2 linked regions of the Elephas maximus indicus genome follow. The protein of the gene in region 1 interacts with the protein of each later gene in a pairwise test. Links are inferred from orthologs where the notes say so. Each region holds a gene or a part of one and is shown on either strand. Other genes may lie near its edges.

What was found.
Region 2: the proteins of OSGIN1 (region 1) and CAPN3 interact in binary tests that used the Homo sapiens proteins (3 or more experiments, as listed by UniProt). The two-hybrid records come from large-scale screens. The link is inferred for Elephas maximus indicus from reciprocal best matches to the Homo sapiens genes OSGIN1 and CAPN3.

The regions. Positions count from the first base shown.
Region 1 is NC_064839.1:49,937,764-49,946,911, forward strand, and holds the start of OSGIN1 (oxidative stress-induced growth inhibitor 1), read left to right. Parts: upstream 1-5,693; 5' UTR 5,694-5,828; intron 5,829-9,148. UniProt on the Homo sapiens protein: Monooxygenase catalytic activity. Involved in regulation of cytokinesis; promotes RHOA activity, probably acting locally at the midbody in late cytokinesis.
Region 2 is NC_064828.1:13,641,508-13,649,893, reverse strand, and holds the start of CAPN3 (calpain-3), read left to right. Parts: upstream 1-4,897; 5' UTR 4,898-4,914; coding exon 4,915-5,223; intron 5,224-8,386. UniProt on the Homo sapiens protein: Calcium-regulated non-lysosomal thiol-protease. Proteolytically cleaves CTBP1 at 'His-409'. Mediates, with UTP25, the proteasome-independent degradation of p53/TP53.

The sequences.
Region 1 (9,148 bases):
GTCATTTGCTTCTCTTGTATATATCATAGAGTCTCCCCCTCCCCCCCTCCCCCAGTTCTCTGCCATTACTAATGGCTGCACAGGACTCTGCTCTGAGCACATGCTCACCGTGTACTGACTATTCTCGGTTCTTGGATGCAGAAGGTGCTGACAATTTTTCACGGCTGATGTTAACACTGTAACTTATGTCTCCTAGCTTACTGAAGCTGTTTCTTGCTTGAGGATTTTTTCCTTAGGATTAGAATCCCAGGCTCCAAGAGTATGGCCCTGCTTGTGATGAGTAAGAGGGACTGTCGTAGGGGTAAAGAGTGAGTCCTCCACTGAGGTTCAGAGAGTCACTGTTGAAGAGCTGAGTCAGGGACAGTGGCTAGCCCTGCAGTGGACGAGCAAGATGATGTCAAACTCTTGGCCAGCTGGTGGTGTCAGTGGGCTGTGGGCTTCTCATGAGTCCCCCACCAGGGTCACCAGCTCGCTCCTGGCTCCTCTGAAGACGTATTTCTCTCTTAGTCCCCATCACGGTTCCTGTAACAGTATAAGGAAGGAGGTTTACAGAAAAATGGGGTGACAGGGGTGGGAGGTCTAAGGCCTGGAGCCCCTTCATGGGCTAGGTGATTTCTGTGTTGATACCAGCTCATCCTCCAGTGGCCACAGGGACAGAAGATCTCAGCCCAGGCTGCACACAGGAAGCACCTGGGGTGCAAATGCAGACTCCGAGGCCCTATCCCTGACCCATGTCATCGGAATCTGTAAGACTGGGGCTCCGGGCGTTAGTATATTCTTTAAGTCTCCACGGATGATCCCAGTATGCAGCCAGGGATGAGAAGCACTGCTCTGCCAGAGGTGGGTGTCGTGACCTCCATCTCACAGACAAGGAAGTGGAGCTCAGAGAGGTAAAGTAACTTGCCCACAGTCACACATCTGAAAGTGAGGGAGCCAGAGTCCCAGCTTGTCTGCCTCCAAAGAGAAGCCTTTCACACACCTTCTACATATCCTGTCTACCCTGCCCCTGAGGCAGATATATTCCCTCTCCTGCGGGAACTTTCCCCTGGTTTTTAAGGAAAAGGGAGCCCTGGTAGTGCAGTGGTTAAGCTCTCGGCTGCTAACCAAAAGGTTAGCAGTTTGAACCCACCAGCTGCTCCGTGGGAGAAAAGACCTGGAAATCTGCTCCCTTAAAGATTACAGCCTTAGAAACACTACGGGGCAGCTCTACCCTGTCCTATAGGGTCTCTATGACTCTGAGTTGACTTGACGGCAACGGATTTTAAGGAAAAGAAGGAGGAATTGGGGGAGCAAGGAATGTCTCATGTGTCTGCTGGGGCCTCCTGTCTCACCCTGAGCAGATGCCCTTCCGCACCCCCCACCCCCGCACCCCTCTTGGGCTCCTTTGTTCTGTGGCCCTCCCCACCCCAGTTCTCTCTGTGTGGCTGTGTGTCCTTCTCAGCTTTTGCAGCATCTCCCCCAGGGGTCTGCGGTGATTCCAGACCCCAGGACAAACCCAAGCCAAGCGTTCTCCTCTCCCTCCAGGCCAAGCCCTGGAGGCCCCGCCTGCTGCTCTGGGTTCTGTCCTCCAGACAGGCCAAAGTCTGAGTGCCCTCACCCTTCATTTCCAGGTGGCCTTGGGCAAACTTGTTGGCCTCTCTGAACCTTGGTTTCTTCATCTGTAAAATAAACATTGCTGTTGAAAATATTTGCCCATCTCTCTGGGCTGTCGGGAGAATCGATGAAATAACGCAGACAACCAGGCTCTGTAAACAGTGAGGCACTGCACAAATATTAGCGTATCATGTACTGGACTGGCCTGGTCTCTTCCTGACAGAGCCCCAGCACAACTAAGTGTTGCCAGTGTTGCCACTCACCGTGAACTTGGGGCCTGCCTTAACTTGCTGCGTCTTGTTTACTCACCTGTAGAATGGGGTAATGGCGCTGTACCTTCCTCGCTGGACCGTTGTGCAAATCCAGTGCATTGGCTGGTCCATGGAACGTGCTTTCAGTACCGGGCACTTGGTAAAGACTGGGCAGCTGTGGTGGTAGGCGGGGTCTTCAGGCTGCCCACCATGACACTGGGAACGTAGACAGGGTCCCCAACCCCTGCCTTTGCTCCTGAGACAGGAAGGAGGTAACCGTTTGTCTGTCAGACTTTATCCCTGGGTTCAAGCCCTGGCTCGGCCACTGTGTGACCTCAGGCCCGAGATCACCCTCTCTGAGCCTCATCTGGATGTAAGGAATCCTCTGTTCACACTGCCCGGCCCTGAAGGTGCCCAGCAAAGGACAGCATCTGTGGGAGCCCCTGGCTGAGGACAAAGAAGGCAAGGACCAGAGGGACAGAACGGATGAGCAGGGCTCAGGAGCAGCCCCTTAGGATGATTCTGGGATTCCTTAGGGAGACAGGAAGTGCAGTTTTGATGGAAGGTAGGGGGTTTTGTCTCAGGACCAAGACCCCCAGGGAAGCTCTTTGTGCCACCCCACCCTTTCCCATCCATTCCACAGCTCCTGAGCATCCTGCAGGGCCCTGGGGTGGGGGGTGCTGCCATACCAAGCACAACAGGCTGCCAGGGTTCGAGCTTCTCCCGTGTGTCACCTGCAAGCTCCCTGCTAGCAGCGTCAGTGCGCAGATGGGGAAACTGAGGCACAGAAGGAAAGCACCTCTCCCAGGTTACACTGCCCATCCACTTGCAGTGCTCTAGGGTGACCAACCATCCTGCTTTGCCTGGGACACGGCAGGACTTTCAGTGCTGGACCTGGGAATGTTCTGGTTTATGTCACCAGCAGGCACCAAGGTCAAGAGCTTCGCTGTCTCATTGAAGTATAATGCCAGTCACTGTGTAACTTTACATTTTCTAATAGCCACATTCAACAAACAAAATAAAGTGGTGAAGTTAATTGTAATAACATATTTTATTTAACCCAATACATCCAAAATATTTTCATTACGTCTTGTAATCCATGTTAAAAAAAAAAAAAAAGAGGAATAAGATATTTTACCTTCTTCTTCTTAATAAAAAAACTAATTCTTCAAAATCCAGTGTGTATTCAAAATCCAGCGAGGGCTGCCAGATAAAATACAGACTGTCCAGTTAAATTTGAATTTCAGATAAATGATGACTTGTTTTAGGATAAGTATAGGGTTTTATATATATATCCGAATAGGAAACCCTGATGGGGTAGTAGTTAAGAGCTTGACTGCTAACCAAAAGGTCGGCAGTTTGAATCCACCAGGCACTCCTTGGAAACCCTATCGGGCAGTTCTACTCTGTCCTATAGGGTCGCTATGATTCAGAACCAACTTGACAGCAATGGGTTTTGTTTTTTTTTTAATAGCCAAATATTGCATGGGATATACTTATACTAGAAATCAACTGGCGTTTCTCTGAAATTCAGATTCACATGGGTGTCCTGTATTTCTACTTGTTAAATCTGTCAGCCATACTCCAGCACATCTCACATTTCCACGCTCAGTAGGTACGAGTAGCTTATGGCCATGAGCTGGGCCAGGCAGTTGGAAGGGAGTTAGGGGTGTTCATTGGGATCCAAGAGCATGCGTCCCCCAGGACAGCCTGTAAAGGCCTGTTCTTCCTGTCTCCGTGGCTCCCTCTCTCCATTGCCCCTTCATGGTTTGTCACATTATCTCTTTGTCTTAGTGGAGCTTTCCAGAAACAACTAAAAAAATTCTATTTCCACTAATCACATGGTTGGTAAACAAGGCGGCAGGGAAGAAAGTCCACGTGTCACCATGATTCCCAGTTATCAGCAACTTTTCAAAATCTAGAAAGGGGGGTCATGGCCAGCGGGGGCAGCAGGCTGTGGGGAGAAGGGGTGGGCAGGGCCCAGGAGACAGGGTTCTGGGAAGCTGGCCTCCTTCTCGATCTCTCCTCTGCGGACCCTGCCATCCTGGCCCCTACAGCCTCACCCTCAGTCTCTGACCCTGGGTGTGTGTCTCTCTCTGCCTCAGTTTACATATCTGAAAACGGGGAAGTTGCAGGCGGAGCACCTTGGGATGGGGAAGTGGAGACAGAGAGGCAGCTGCTAGGGGACAATGGCGTGTGAACAAGAGGTACGTGCCAGAGCTGCTGGCCTCGGGCCCTCACTGGTCATTGCTGGGCTCCAAGGGTGTCACGAAGGCCACAGCTGGGACAGAGGCCCAGAGAGGGAGGCCACCCCCCAAGGTCACACAGCACACCTGCAGTGGGTCTAGAAGCCGGGAGCTGAGGCCTGGAACAGAGGGCAGATGTCCCTCTGCCATAGGCCACAGGCTGTGTCATATGACCCCCCACTGGGTCATCACTGCCCATGACCACAGGAGGAAGGGATTATGCATGCCCATTTTCACATGGGTAAAACTGAGGTTCCGAGGGGGCGTATCTCCCGGGAGCTCAGCCAGCCTGGAAGGGGCTGAGCCCATTTGGGCCACGTGATTGCAGAGCTGGATGTGAAATGAAACCTCGGACTCCTGTGCTCTTCCAGGGCACGGCCCGGGTCCCCTGTGGCCACCAGGGCCAGGGCCAGGCTAGGGTGAGGGGAGTGGGATGCTTGTCTCAGGCACAACATTTAAGGGGTCCAAAACACTCCATAATCAGGACACATAATGCATGAATGCAATTTTTTAAACAACCGAAATGAATGCAAAACATCTATGATGAAGAGAATACCACAATTTTCAGTGAAGACAGCATCAGTATTCCTGATTTTTCCTTTTGACTCTGGATCTAATATGACTTGGGTTGGGACTGTCTTGAATCCTGTGTTTATCTTAAACGTTGATATTTCATTCACCGTGGATTTTTTTACATTAATTTTGATTTTTCAAACAAATTGCTTTAAAATACTATTTTCTTGGTTACTGAGTTTTTTTTGACAGACCCTTAAATTTTGTGCCCCAGGTGAGTGCCTTACCTGCCCCACCCTGGTTCCAGCACTGGTGGCCCCCACTGCCACACAGCAGAACAGGGCTGTCAGGGGTGCCCCCAGGCCTAAAGTGGTGATGAGGAGACAGTAGCATCAGTAATGGAAATAATAGCTAATAGGTCCTGAGCCCTATGGACCAGACTCTGCTCTACCTTCCTTCCTTCCTTTCAACAAAATTTGAGTGCCCACTATTGTGTGTGGCACTATTCTAGACACAGGAGACATAACTCCCTGCCCACACTGTGCCCACATTCTGGTTTAGGGACAGAGACAAGAACAAGACTAACTAATAACCAGCAATGTGTGAGGTGCGAAGGGATACCTGCTAAAGAAGAAACGTAAGGAAGAAAATGGGATCTAAACTGGGAGGGGCTTCCTGTGGTCAGCATGGGAGGGAGACAAGTGGTGTCATTTAAGCCTATACCCACCACAGGCAGGAGAGGCTGTTCCTTAGCCCCATTTTTCAGATGAGGAAACTGAGGGTCGGCCATGAGCAGTTTGCCCAGCCTCCCCCAGCCAGTAGGTGCAGAGGGGGACTTGCAGCCTGGGCAGGCTGGGGGCTGGGGTGGGGAAGAGGCGCCTGGGGTGGAATCTGAGTGGAATGAGAGAGCCAGCGCGGGGCCCGGCTGGTGGGAGGCAGGTGCCCGCCCCGGGGCCCCTTCAAGGCCGCCCTGGCTCGCAGCGTGCACCCGCCCCGGGTGTACAAGTTCATTCATCCAGGGCCTGCTGAGTCACGCTTATGAAAGTAACTGCCCGGCCCCGCCCGCCGCCGCTCGGTGAAATACCCTCGCTTCCCCCTCGCCGCTCACTGCCTCTCAAGTCCCCACAGGCGACGGGTGTCCCGCTCCCGCAGCGGGCGCTGTGACCCCAGTTTCTCGTGCACCGCCGGCTAGGCTCGCCGGCCACCTCCACCAGCTGCCCATCAGGTGAGTGACCCCGGCCAGGCCTGGAGGAGGGGTGGCCAGCTGGGTCCGGGTCTGCAGGCCCTGGAACCGGGCGGGACTCCCAGGAGGTCCCGAAGCCCCGGGCCCCCCCACCCAGCCCGGCCCGCGTCTCCCCCTGCCAGGGTCACCCCTAGTTGGTGAGTGCCCGGATCCAGCCACTGCCCTGCTGCCCACCCGCCCGGGGCACGTGACCGCCCGACCCTGGACCGCGCTCCAGGAGGGAAGGAGGCGTGGCCTCCAGCACCCTGCCGAACCCGCTGGGTCCAGCCGCCCGCCGGACCGAGCTCACTGTACCGACCCTCAGCCAAGCATGGAGACCCCAGGGACTAGCTTCCCACAGCAGGCTCAATGGTGCTGGGCTGGAGGGCTGGGGGCCCAGGGAGACCCTGGGGTCTTGGTGGGGTCGCCTGGGAGGGAGGTGGCACCGGGGCGCTAGGGGAGGCCCTGCTGCACCAGGCTCACAGCCCGGTCCAGCCCGCGCCCCGGGGGCGTGGTGTTTCTCGGTGTCTTTGTGATCGCGCTTCTTACTGACAGAGGTCCAGGGACTCTGCCAGGGTCGCACAGGTACGAGGGCAGAACTAAGATTTGTGCTCATGGCGTGGACTCAGACGTTCTTGGGCGGCCCTGGGCAGGGCGCCTCTCACCTCGGTTTTCCCGACCGTGCAATTGGCACAAGAAAACGCGCCTGGCAGGGCTGTCCTCAAAGTCAGATGGTCTGAGGGCCAGAGTGTGCAGCAAGTGCAGCCAATACAGCTGTCCCCGTCTTGGTGCAGTTTTAAGCTCTGATGGCCTCTGGATCGTCAATGCCACAAACGCAAACGCAACATCACGTAAAGCTGTCATTATTTCCATTTGCTTTATGCTTACTTGGTTTTGTGAATTTCGAATAGTCGATTTTTAACTTTTTTCCAGTAACATTTTCCATCTTCAGAGGGACTTCAGAAGTTAAAATTAAAAATGGATGCTTCCAACTTCATAAACCGTAAAAGTGGGAAAGAAATGGAAAAGTGTGAAGCTTTCACATTATATTCTGTGCGTTTTCAGCGGGTCTACTCCATGGTGGGAGAGCTCTCAGGGATCAGGGCTCCTGGGCAGCTTTTCTGCACAGGAAGTGATCGATGGGTCGGTCCTGGACTGTGTGACCTCATGACTGTGGCATCCTGGTGGTGCTGGGAGGGAGCACTTGACTTGGAGTTCAAAAGTTCCCGCCGTTGCCAAGAGAATTCAACAACATATCAAAAAAATAATCCGCCATGACCAAGTGGGATTTATACCAGGTATGCAAGGCTGGTTTAATATTAGAAAAACCATTAATGTAATCCACCATATAAATAAAACAAAAGACAAAAACCACATGATCTTATCAATTGATGCAGAAAAGGCATTTGACAAAGTCCAACACCCATTTATGATAAAAACTCTCAGCAAAATAGGAATGGAAGGAAAATTTCTGAACATAATAAAGGGCATCTATACAAAGCCAACAGCCAACATCACTCTAAATGGAGAGAGCCTGAAAGCATTTCCCTTGAGAACGGGAACCAGACAAGGATGCCCTTTATCACCGCTCTTATTCAACATTGTGCTAGAGGTCCTAGCCAGAGCAATTAGGCTACACAAAGAAATAAAGGGCATCTGGATTGGCAAGGAGGAAGTAAAATTATCTCTATTTGCAGATGACATGATCTTATACACAGAAAACCCTAAGGAATCCTCCAGAAAACTACTGAAACTAATAGAAGAGTTTGGCAGAGTCTCAGGTTATAAGATAAACATACAAAAATCACTTGGATTCCTCTACATCAACAAAAAGAACATCGAAGAGGAAATCACCAAATCAATACCATTCACAGTAGCCCCCAAGAAGATAAAATACTTAGGAATAAATCTTACCAAAGATGTAGAAGACCTATACAAAGAAAACTACAAAGTACTACTACAAGAAACTAAAAAGGACCTACTTAAGTGGAAAAACATACCTTGCTCATGGATAGGAAGACTTAACATAGTAAAAATGTCTATTCTACCAAAAGCCATCTATACATGCAATGCACTTCCGATCCAAATTCCAATGTCATTTTTTAATGTGATGGAGAAACAAATCACCAACTTCATATGGAAGGGAAAGAAGCCTCGGATAAGTAAAGCATTACTGAAAAAGAAAAAGAAAGTGGGAGGCCTCACTCTACCTGATTTCAGAACCTATTATACAGCCACAGTAGTCAAAACAGCCTGGTACTGGTACAACAACAGGCACATAGACCAATGGAACAGAATTGAGAACCCAGATATAAATCCATCCATATATGAGCAGCTGATATTTAACAAAGGCCCAGTGTCAGTTAATTGGGGAAAAGATAGTCTTTTTAACAAATGGTGCTGGCATAACTGGATATCCATTTGCAAAAAAATGAAACAGGACCCATACCTCACACCATGCACAAAAACTAACTCCAAGTGGATCAAAGACCTAAACATAAAGACTAAAATGATAAAGATCATGGAAGAAAAAATAGAGACAACCTTAGGAGCCCTAATACAAGGCATAAACAGAATACAAAACATTACCAAAAATGACAAAGAGAAACCAGATAACTGGGAGCTCCTAAAAATCAAACACCTATGGTCATCTAAAGACTTCACCAAAAGAGTAAAAAGACCACCTACAGACTGGGAAAGAATTTTCAGCAATGACATCTCCGACCAGCACCTGATCTCTAAAATCTATGTGGTTCTGTCAAAACTCAACCGCAAAAAGACAAACAACCCAATCAAGAAGTGGGCAAAGGATATGAACACGCACTTCACTAAAGAAGATATTCAGGCAGCTAACAGATACATGAGAAAATGCTCTCGATCATTAGCCATTAGAGAAATGCAAATTAAAACTACGATGAGATTCCATCTCACACCAACTAGACTGGCATTAATCCAAAAAACACAAAATAATAAATGTTGGAGAGGCTGCAGAGAGATTGGAACTCTTATACACTGCTGGTGGGAATGTAAAATGGTACAACCACTTTGGAAATCTATCTGGCATTATCTTAAACAGTTAGAAATAGAACTACCATACAACCCAGAAATCCTGCTCCTCGGAATATACCCTAGAGAAATAAGTGCCTTCACATGAACGGATATATGCACACCCATGTTTATCGCAGCTCTGTTTACAATAGCAAAAAGCTGGAAGCAACCAAGGTGTCCATCAACAGATGAATGGTTAAATAAATTGTGGTATATTCACACAATGGAATATTATGCATCGATAAAGAACAGTAATGAATCTGTGAAGCATTTCA
Region 2 (8,386 bases), on another chromosome or scaffold:
TAACATATTTAGTGCTTCTGTTTTACCTCCTAGTTCGTTGCACAGTGCCTAGGACCTTAAAAGCCTGCAAGAGGCCATCCAACATACAACAATTGGTCTCCGTTCACCCCGAGCAACAGAGGAAGAAGGCAAGTCAGGAAGAGGAGGAAGATATGCAATATGTCTGTTATTGCCTCCATAAACAATTGCCTCCTTTGCCTTGAGACCAGAAGAGCTGGATGGTGCCTTGCTGTCATTACTAAACATTTTGATCAAAGATTCCATAGGAGAATCCTCATCAAAAGGGGAAAAAATGTAGAACAGAATTTCACATTTTAATGGACTTTAGACTTTCTAGAACCATGGAGAGTCCATGAACTCCTGAAACTATTGTCCTGAGATAATCTTTAAACCTTAAACCAAAAATGTTCCCTGAAGTCTTTTTTAAAACAAACAACAGCTCAGCTTAACTAGTAAAAAAGGTCTGCCTTGAACATTATGCTCTTTTAAGAACCATCTGTATGGGATCCAATTGACAACAGCAACTTGAAAGATGAGATAGGAACCTTAGGGGGCAGTGAATTTATGTTAATGGGGAAGGAACAACTCAGAAAATGAGGGTGAGAATGGCTGCACAACTCAAAGAATGTAATCAATGTCACTAAATGGTACATGTAAAAACTGTTGAATTGGTGTATAAATTTGCTCTGTATATTCTCAACAACAACAAAATAAAGAAAATTGAAGAAAAAAGAAAGAGGACATAATGGGAAAACAGGAGAATTCAGAATAAAGTCTTGTAATTTAGTTAATAGTATTGTACCAATATTAATTTCTTAGCTTTGATCATTGTACCATGATTCTATAAGCCAGGTGAATGATATAAAGGAACTCAGTACTATCTTTGCAACTCTTCTGTAAGCCTAAAATTATTTAAAAATATAAAGTTTTAAAAAGTACTCTGTGTGAAATGGCTAGCTCACAGTAGGCACTTAATAAATGGTAACCCGTTAACCCGTTGCCATCAAGTCGAGTCCAACTCGTAGCAACCCTATAGGACAGAGTAGAACTGCCCCACGGGGTTTCCAAGGTGGTGGATTCAAACGGCCGACCTTTTGGTTGGCAGCCTGAGCTCTTAGCCACTGTGCCACCAGGGCTCCTAATAAATGGCAAATGTTGTAATTATGAACAGCATAGTGTTGAATCAAAGAAATACTTACTGATGGCAAAGTCACTGACATGGAGCCATTAGTTGGCCTTGTTGGTGCAACAGAAACCATTCCAGCCACAGCTGTTGCATGACCTTGGCTGAAATATTTTATAAAACTAGGTCTTTACACTTGAGGAGGCTTCTGGGAATTGAAATGTGCAGCTGTTTATATGCTCATTATCTGTTCAGATGCTCATTAGCCAGTCTTCCTTCATGGGCTCAGACTGGATTTCTCCCTGATATCACGAGTTTCCCCAGCTCTGCAGCTGAATAAACCTTGGACTTGGACCTGCTAATCTGAGGGGGTTTTTAGCCACAACAATTGATAGACCAAAATGAACAGCGTCTTGTACTCTATATATTTGATGTTCCTACCCTGCAGTGACAAGAGGCTCATCCCTACCTCACACTCAGTTACTGACAGGTGGAGTTGGCTTCAGCAGCCAAGGAAAGAGAGATCAGCATGCATGTAGCCCAGAGACAGTTCCTCCCCTAGGGGTCAAATCAGCCGAGAAACTTTGATTGCATTGGCAAAACAATAAGAAGTGTAAGAAATTTCTCCTCACTTAGGAAAATTTCATTCAACAGAAATACAACACATACTGATTAAGGACCTTCTATACGCTTTTTTTTTTTTTTATACGCTTAACCCTGGGGATGAAATAGGGGTCTAGCCCCCACCTTCACAGAGCTTACAGTCTTGTGGGTGTTAAATAAGCAGAAACAATAAAACGTGGGTAAGTGTTGTGAATTTCAGGGCGGTACAGAGACCCAGACCTATGAGTTGGAGTCGACTTGACAGCACCTAGCAACAACAACAGAGCACTGGGGGCAGCTGCTGGGCCTTCAGTGGTAGAGTTCTCACCTTCCACACGGGACGCTGGGGTTCCGTTCCCGGCCAATGCGCCTCATGCAGAGGCATCACCTGTCTGTCAGTGGAGGTTTGCATGTTGCTATGATGCTGAACAGGTTTCAGCAGAGCTTCCAGACTAGGAAGAAAGACCTGGCAATCTACTTCTGAAAATCAGCCAGTGAAAACCCTTTGGATTACAACAGTCTGATCTGCAACCAGTCATGGGGATGGCAGGTGACTGGGCGATGTTCCATTTCTTTGTCTATGGAGTCACCCGGAGTCGGAGGCCAACTCAACAGCAGCCAACAACAACAACAAGAGAGCACTGGGCTGCTGGGAGAAGGAACCCCAGCTTTGCCGTTCATGCCACTGGTGAGTTGGGGGTGGAAGTCAGTCAGTGAGACGCTGTCTTAGTTCAGGCAGGTAGGCAAGCCTCTGATAAAGGTGCTGTCTACACATGGGCCTGGACACATTGAGCCCGTCCCTACCCTGGACTCCTGGGAGACGTGCAGTAAGCGCTTAGAGTGGGTGCTGATTTGCATCGGGGTGTGAATGTATCGTTCTGTCTGATCTAATCCGATGTAATGTTAAATTCAAGTTTTCTCCAACAACTTTTATGGAGTGCTTAAGACAATCTGGAGCCCTGGTGGCGCAGTGGTTAAGAGCTTGGCTGCTAATCAAAAGATTGGCAGTTCAAATCCACCAGCCTCTCCTTGGAAACCCTATGGGGCAGTTCCACTCTGTCCTATCGGGCCGCTATGAGTCGGAATCAACTCGATGTCAACAGGGTTTTTGGTAAGACAATCCAGGCACTATGATTTACATAAATTAAGTTGTTTAATCCTTACAACAACCCAATAACGGAATGACTATCACTATACGCATTTTATAGGGGAGAAAACTAAGATATACCTAGAAAGGAAGAAGTAACTCGCCCAAAGTTACACAGGCACAGCCAGTAAGCGGCAGACCCAGACTTTGAACCTAAGAAGTCAGCCTTCTATTCTGCCTCTCCAAGAGAGGTAAAAGCCCTTGGGCATTTTCACAGAGGGCTAGGAGGGTACACTGGCAGTTCCTACAAGCCCTAGGCACGGGCTTCCTCAAGGCTGCAACCCCAAGGATCACGAACCTGGCGCTACTGCCTACTTCTGCTGTTACTTCCTGCCTTCTCCCACAGCCTCTAACCTTGGCCTGTGAGATGTCACCAGGGAGCAGGCATGGCTGTGGTCTGGAAACAAGCCTCTGGTCAGCCAGACTTGGAATGGGGCCAACTCCTTACATCCCACAGAGCAGCTGCCCATAGTAGAACCCAAGGCAGAGGTCAGGTGGGCGATTCTCTTCCTCAGAGCCACTTATGCTGCCATCTGAGAGCCCTGAAACCAACTCCTCACGGTATGACCTGCTGGTCTTGATGGCCAGTGTAGTTACAGTTTCTGGGTCAAATGCCTATGTGGGATGCCTGAATACTCAATGTATATCCTGTGTATTTGGTGTATTTGGCCCCAGTGTTTATTTTGGGGGTGGGGAGAGATAAGATGTGGCTAGGTCAAGTGGATGAGAGGAGATGCAGGGATGTTTCCTATCCAAGGACTCGGCCGAGTGGTATTTCTACCCAGATAAATTCCGCTGAATGCTGGCACAAGAACATTCTAGAAGAGATGCCAAATTCAATATTGAACAATGTTCTGAGATCCTAGAGTTTTGGAAAGTAAAACCCATGCTCTCAAAAATGCCTAGCAAGGGACATCTGTAGAGACAGGAGATAGGTTAGTGGTTGTTTGGTGGGGGCGGGGGTGAGTAGCATGATAGGCGGGTGATAGCTAAAGGATATGGGGTTTCTTAAGGCGATGAAAATGTTCTAAAATTGACTGTGGTGATGGTTGCACATGTCTGTAAATATACTAAAAACCACTGAGTTGCACACCTTAAATAGGCAAATTGCATATGTGAATGATATCTCAATAAAACTGTTAAAAAGAAAGAAAATGAGGATTTCAGCCCCGTACCATGAAAGAGCTAAATTCTGCCAACAACCATGTGATCTTAGAAAAGAACCCTGAGTTCCAGAAAGGAACGCAGCCTGGCCAACACCTTGATTTCATTTCTCTCTTACAAATGCAGCAATGAACAGCCTTGTAAGTGTTACCTTGTGTACATGTACGAGTGTTTTTGAAGGATATGGTATACAAGATGGATTTGATTAATATATATTGTCAAATTGCAAAAAAAAAAAAAAGTTGAGAATATTCCTCTGAATTCAGTATCTTACATTCACCCTTTTCAATACTACTTTCCATTAATTTGGCAGCCAGTAATCTGATAGTCTGTATAACTGCCTATTCAATAACACACCAGCAGTTCTTTGCTGATTTTCAAACTTCAAGGTACTCAGATATCCCCTTTCAGTTCCTGACAACACCAGTACCTAATGACAGCACAGAAACGTCCCTAGCCAGGCCTTCTCTCTGCCCTGTAGCCAGCCGCAAGCTAGCCCCTCTCGCTCTCATGCTCACACTCTTCCTTCATGTCTATTTTTAGTTTTCCTGGCTCAAGCATCTTCAGGCCACTGAAACACAACCCTCACTCTCTTTCTCTCCCTCTGGCATGCATGCTGCTGGTAAGAGCCCCCCAGATAAAAATTGCTTCAGAAATCCTTTATTGCCCCTTCCTCAGGAAGAATCTGTTTTCAAGCTGGATATAAGCTGGACGACCTTCTGATGGGCTTTGAACTTTGAACTGGATGTGGACATCTTTCTCTCAGATGACAGAATCACTTCAACTTCCCCTTTGCAGCAGCTTCCTTCCCTTGGAGGTAGCTGTATCTTGTTTTCTGTAAAAAAAAAAAAAACCTTTCCTTCCCAAGTTGCCTGCCATGCCAACTGTCATCAGCGCGTCTGTGGCCCCACGGACTGGGGCTGAGCCCAGGTCCCCGGGACCAATCCTCCACCCAGCCCAGGGCAAGACCACCGAGGCTGGGGGTGGAAATTCAAGCGGCATCTATTCGGCCATCATCAGCCGCAATTTTCCGATTATCGGAGTGAAAGAGAAGACATTTGAGCAGCTACACAAGAAATGTCTAGAAAAGAACGTTCTGTATCTGGATCCTGAGTTCCCACCGGATGAGACCTCTCTCTTTTATAGCCAGAAGTTCCCCGTCCAGTTCGTCTGGAAGAGACCTCCGGTGAGTAGGTTGCTGGTTGCTGGTTGCTGGTTGGGTTTTTCCCCTCAAAGACGTCCTCCCACTCAGCACCTCCCCACAGCTCAGCTGCCCACATGGGCACTTCGGGAATTTTCCTGGCCGTGGCTCTGTCAGCCTCTGTCCTCCAGTGTGATGGGGGAGGGGAGGGGGGCCTTGGATGGCATCAAATCTCTACAAAATTCACCTCCAGCATGGGGGAGGCAGCGCTGATTCTCATTCTCTCTCTCTCTTTGAAATGATCTATTTCTGAAATAATCTTTTTTTTTTTAATTTTTATTGTGCTTTAAGTGAAAGTTTATGAATCAAGTCAGTCTCTCACACAAAAAGTTATATACACCTTGCTACATACTCCCAGTTAATCTCCCCCTAATGAGACAGCCGGCTCTCTCCCTCCACTCTCTCTTTTCGTGTCCATTTCACCAGCTTCTAACCCCCTCCACCCTCTCATCTCACCTCCAGGCACGAGATGCCCACATAGTCTAAAGTGTCCACCTGATCCAGGAAGCTCACTCCTCACCAGCATCCCTCTCCAACCCGTTGTCCAGTCAAATCCATGTCTGAAGAGCTGGCTTCAGGAATGGTTCCTCTCCTGGGCCAACAGCAGGGCTGGGGGCCGTGGCCACTGGGGTTCCTCTAGTCTCAGTCAGACCATTAAGTCTGGTCTTTTTGCGAGAATTTGGGGTCTGCATCCCACTGCTCTCCTGCTCCCTCAGGGGCTCTCTGTTGCGTTCCCTGTCAGGGCAGTCATTGGTTGTAGCCGGGCACCACCTAGCTCTTGTGGTCTCAGGCTGATGTAGTCTCTGGTTTATGTGGCCCTTTCTGTCTCTTGGGCTCATAATTACCTTGTGTCCTTGGTGTTCTTCTTCTCCTTTGACCCAGATGGATTGAGACCAATAGATGGATCTTAGATGGCCGCTTGCTAGCGTTTAAGACCCAGACACCTCTCTCCAAGGTGGGATGCAGAATGTTTTCTTAATAGATTTTATTATGCCAGTTGACTTAGATGTCACCCGGAACCATGGTCCCCAAACCCCTGCCATGCTGGCCTTCGGAGCATTCAGTGTATTCCGGAAACTTCTTTGTTTTTCATTTAGTCCAGCTGTGCTGACCTTGCCTGTATTGTGTGTTGTCTTTCTCATCACCTAAAATAGTTTTTATCTACTATCTAATTAGTGAGTACCGCCTTGCCACCCTCCCTCCATCCTCCATCTCGTAACCATCAAAGAATATTCTCTTCTCTGTTTAAACTATTTTTTGAGTTCTTATAATAGTGGTCTTATACAATATTTGTCCTTTTGCAACTGACTGATTTCACTCAGCATAATGCCTTCCAGATTCCTCCATGTTATGAAATGTTTCACAGATTCATCGCTGTTCTTAATTGATGAATAGTATTCCATTGTGTGAATAGACCATAATTTATTTATCCATTCATCTGTTAATGGGCACCTTGGTTGCTTCCATCTTTTTGCTATCGTAAACAGTGCTGCAATGAACATGGGTGTGCATATATATGTTCCTGTAAAGGCTCTTATTTCTCTAGGTTATATTCCAAGGAGTGGGATTGCTGAATGGTATGGTAGTTCTATTTCTAGCTTTTTGAGGAAGTGCCAAATCCATTTCCAAAGTGGTTGTACCATTTGACATTCCCACCAGCAGTGTATAAGTATTCCAATCTCTCCACAGCCTCTCCAACATTTATTGTTTTGTGTTTTTTGGATTAATGCCAGCCTTGTTGGAGTGAGGTGGAATCTCATTGTAGTTTTAATTTGCATTTCTCTAATGGCTAATGATCTTGGGCATTTCCTCATGTATCTGTTAGCTACCTGAATGTCTTCTTTAGTGAACTGTCTGTTCATATCTTTTGCCCATTTTTTAACTGGGTTATTTGTCTTTTTGTAGTTGAGTTTTTACAGTATCCTGTAGATTTTACAGATCAGGCACTGATCAGAAATGTCATAGCTAAAAACTTTTTCCCAGTCTGTAGGTAATCTTTTTACTCTTTTGGTGAAGTCCGTAGATGAACATAGGTGTTTGATTTTTAGGAGCTCCCGATTATCTAGTTTTTGTTCTGCATTGTTAGTAATGTTTTATATACTGTTTATGCCATGTATTTGGGCTCCTAAAGTTGTTCCTATTTTCTCTTCCATGATCTTGATCATTTTAGATTTGATATTCAGGTCTTTGATGCATTTTGAGCTCGTTTCTGCGATTTTTCTGCGCATGGAGTGAGGTATGGGTCTTGTTTCATTTTTTTTTTTTGCTGATGGATATCCAGTTATGCCAGCACCATTTCTTACAAAGACTGACTTTTCCCCATTTACCTGCTTTGGGGCCTTTGTCAAATATCAACTGCTCATATGTGGATGGACGGATTTATGTCTGGATTCTCAATTGTGTTCCGCTGGTCTATGCATCTGTTGTTGTACCCGGACCAGGCTGTTTTGACTACTGTGGCGGTATAATAGGTTCTAAAATCAGGTAGAGTAAGGGCTCCCACTTTGCTTTTCTTTTTCAGTAATGCTTTACTTATCCAGGGCCTCTTTCCCTTCCATCTGAACTTGGTAATTTGTTTCCCCATCTCATTAAAGAATGTCGTTGGAATTTGGATCGGAATTGCGTTGTATCTATAGATTGCTTTTGGTAGAATAGACATTTTTATAATGTTAAGTCTTCCTATCCATGAGCAAGGTATGTTTTCCCACTTTTATAGCTGTCTTTTGGTTTCTTGCAGGTGTATTGCAGTTTTCTTTGTATAAGTCTTTTACATCTCTGGTAAGATTTATTCCTAACTCTTTCATCTTCTTGGGGGCTACTGTAAATGGCATTGATTTGGTGATTTCCTCTTTGATGTTCTTTTTGTTGGTGTAGAGGAATCCAAGTGATTTTTGTATGTTTATCTTGAATCCTGATACTCTGCTGAACTCTTCTATTAGTTTCAGTAGTTTTCTGGAGGATTCCTTAGGGTTTTCTGTGTATAAGATCATGTCATCTGCAAATAGAGATACTTTTACTTCTTCCTTGCCAATCTGGAGGCCCTTTATTTCTTTGTCTAGCCTAATTTCTCTGGCTAGGACCTCCAGCACAATGTTGAATAAGAGCAGTAATAAAGGGCATCCTTGTAGGCTTCCCATTCTCAAGGGGA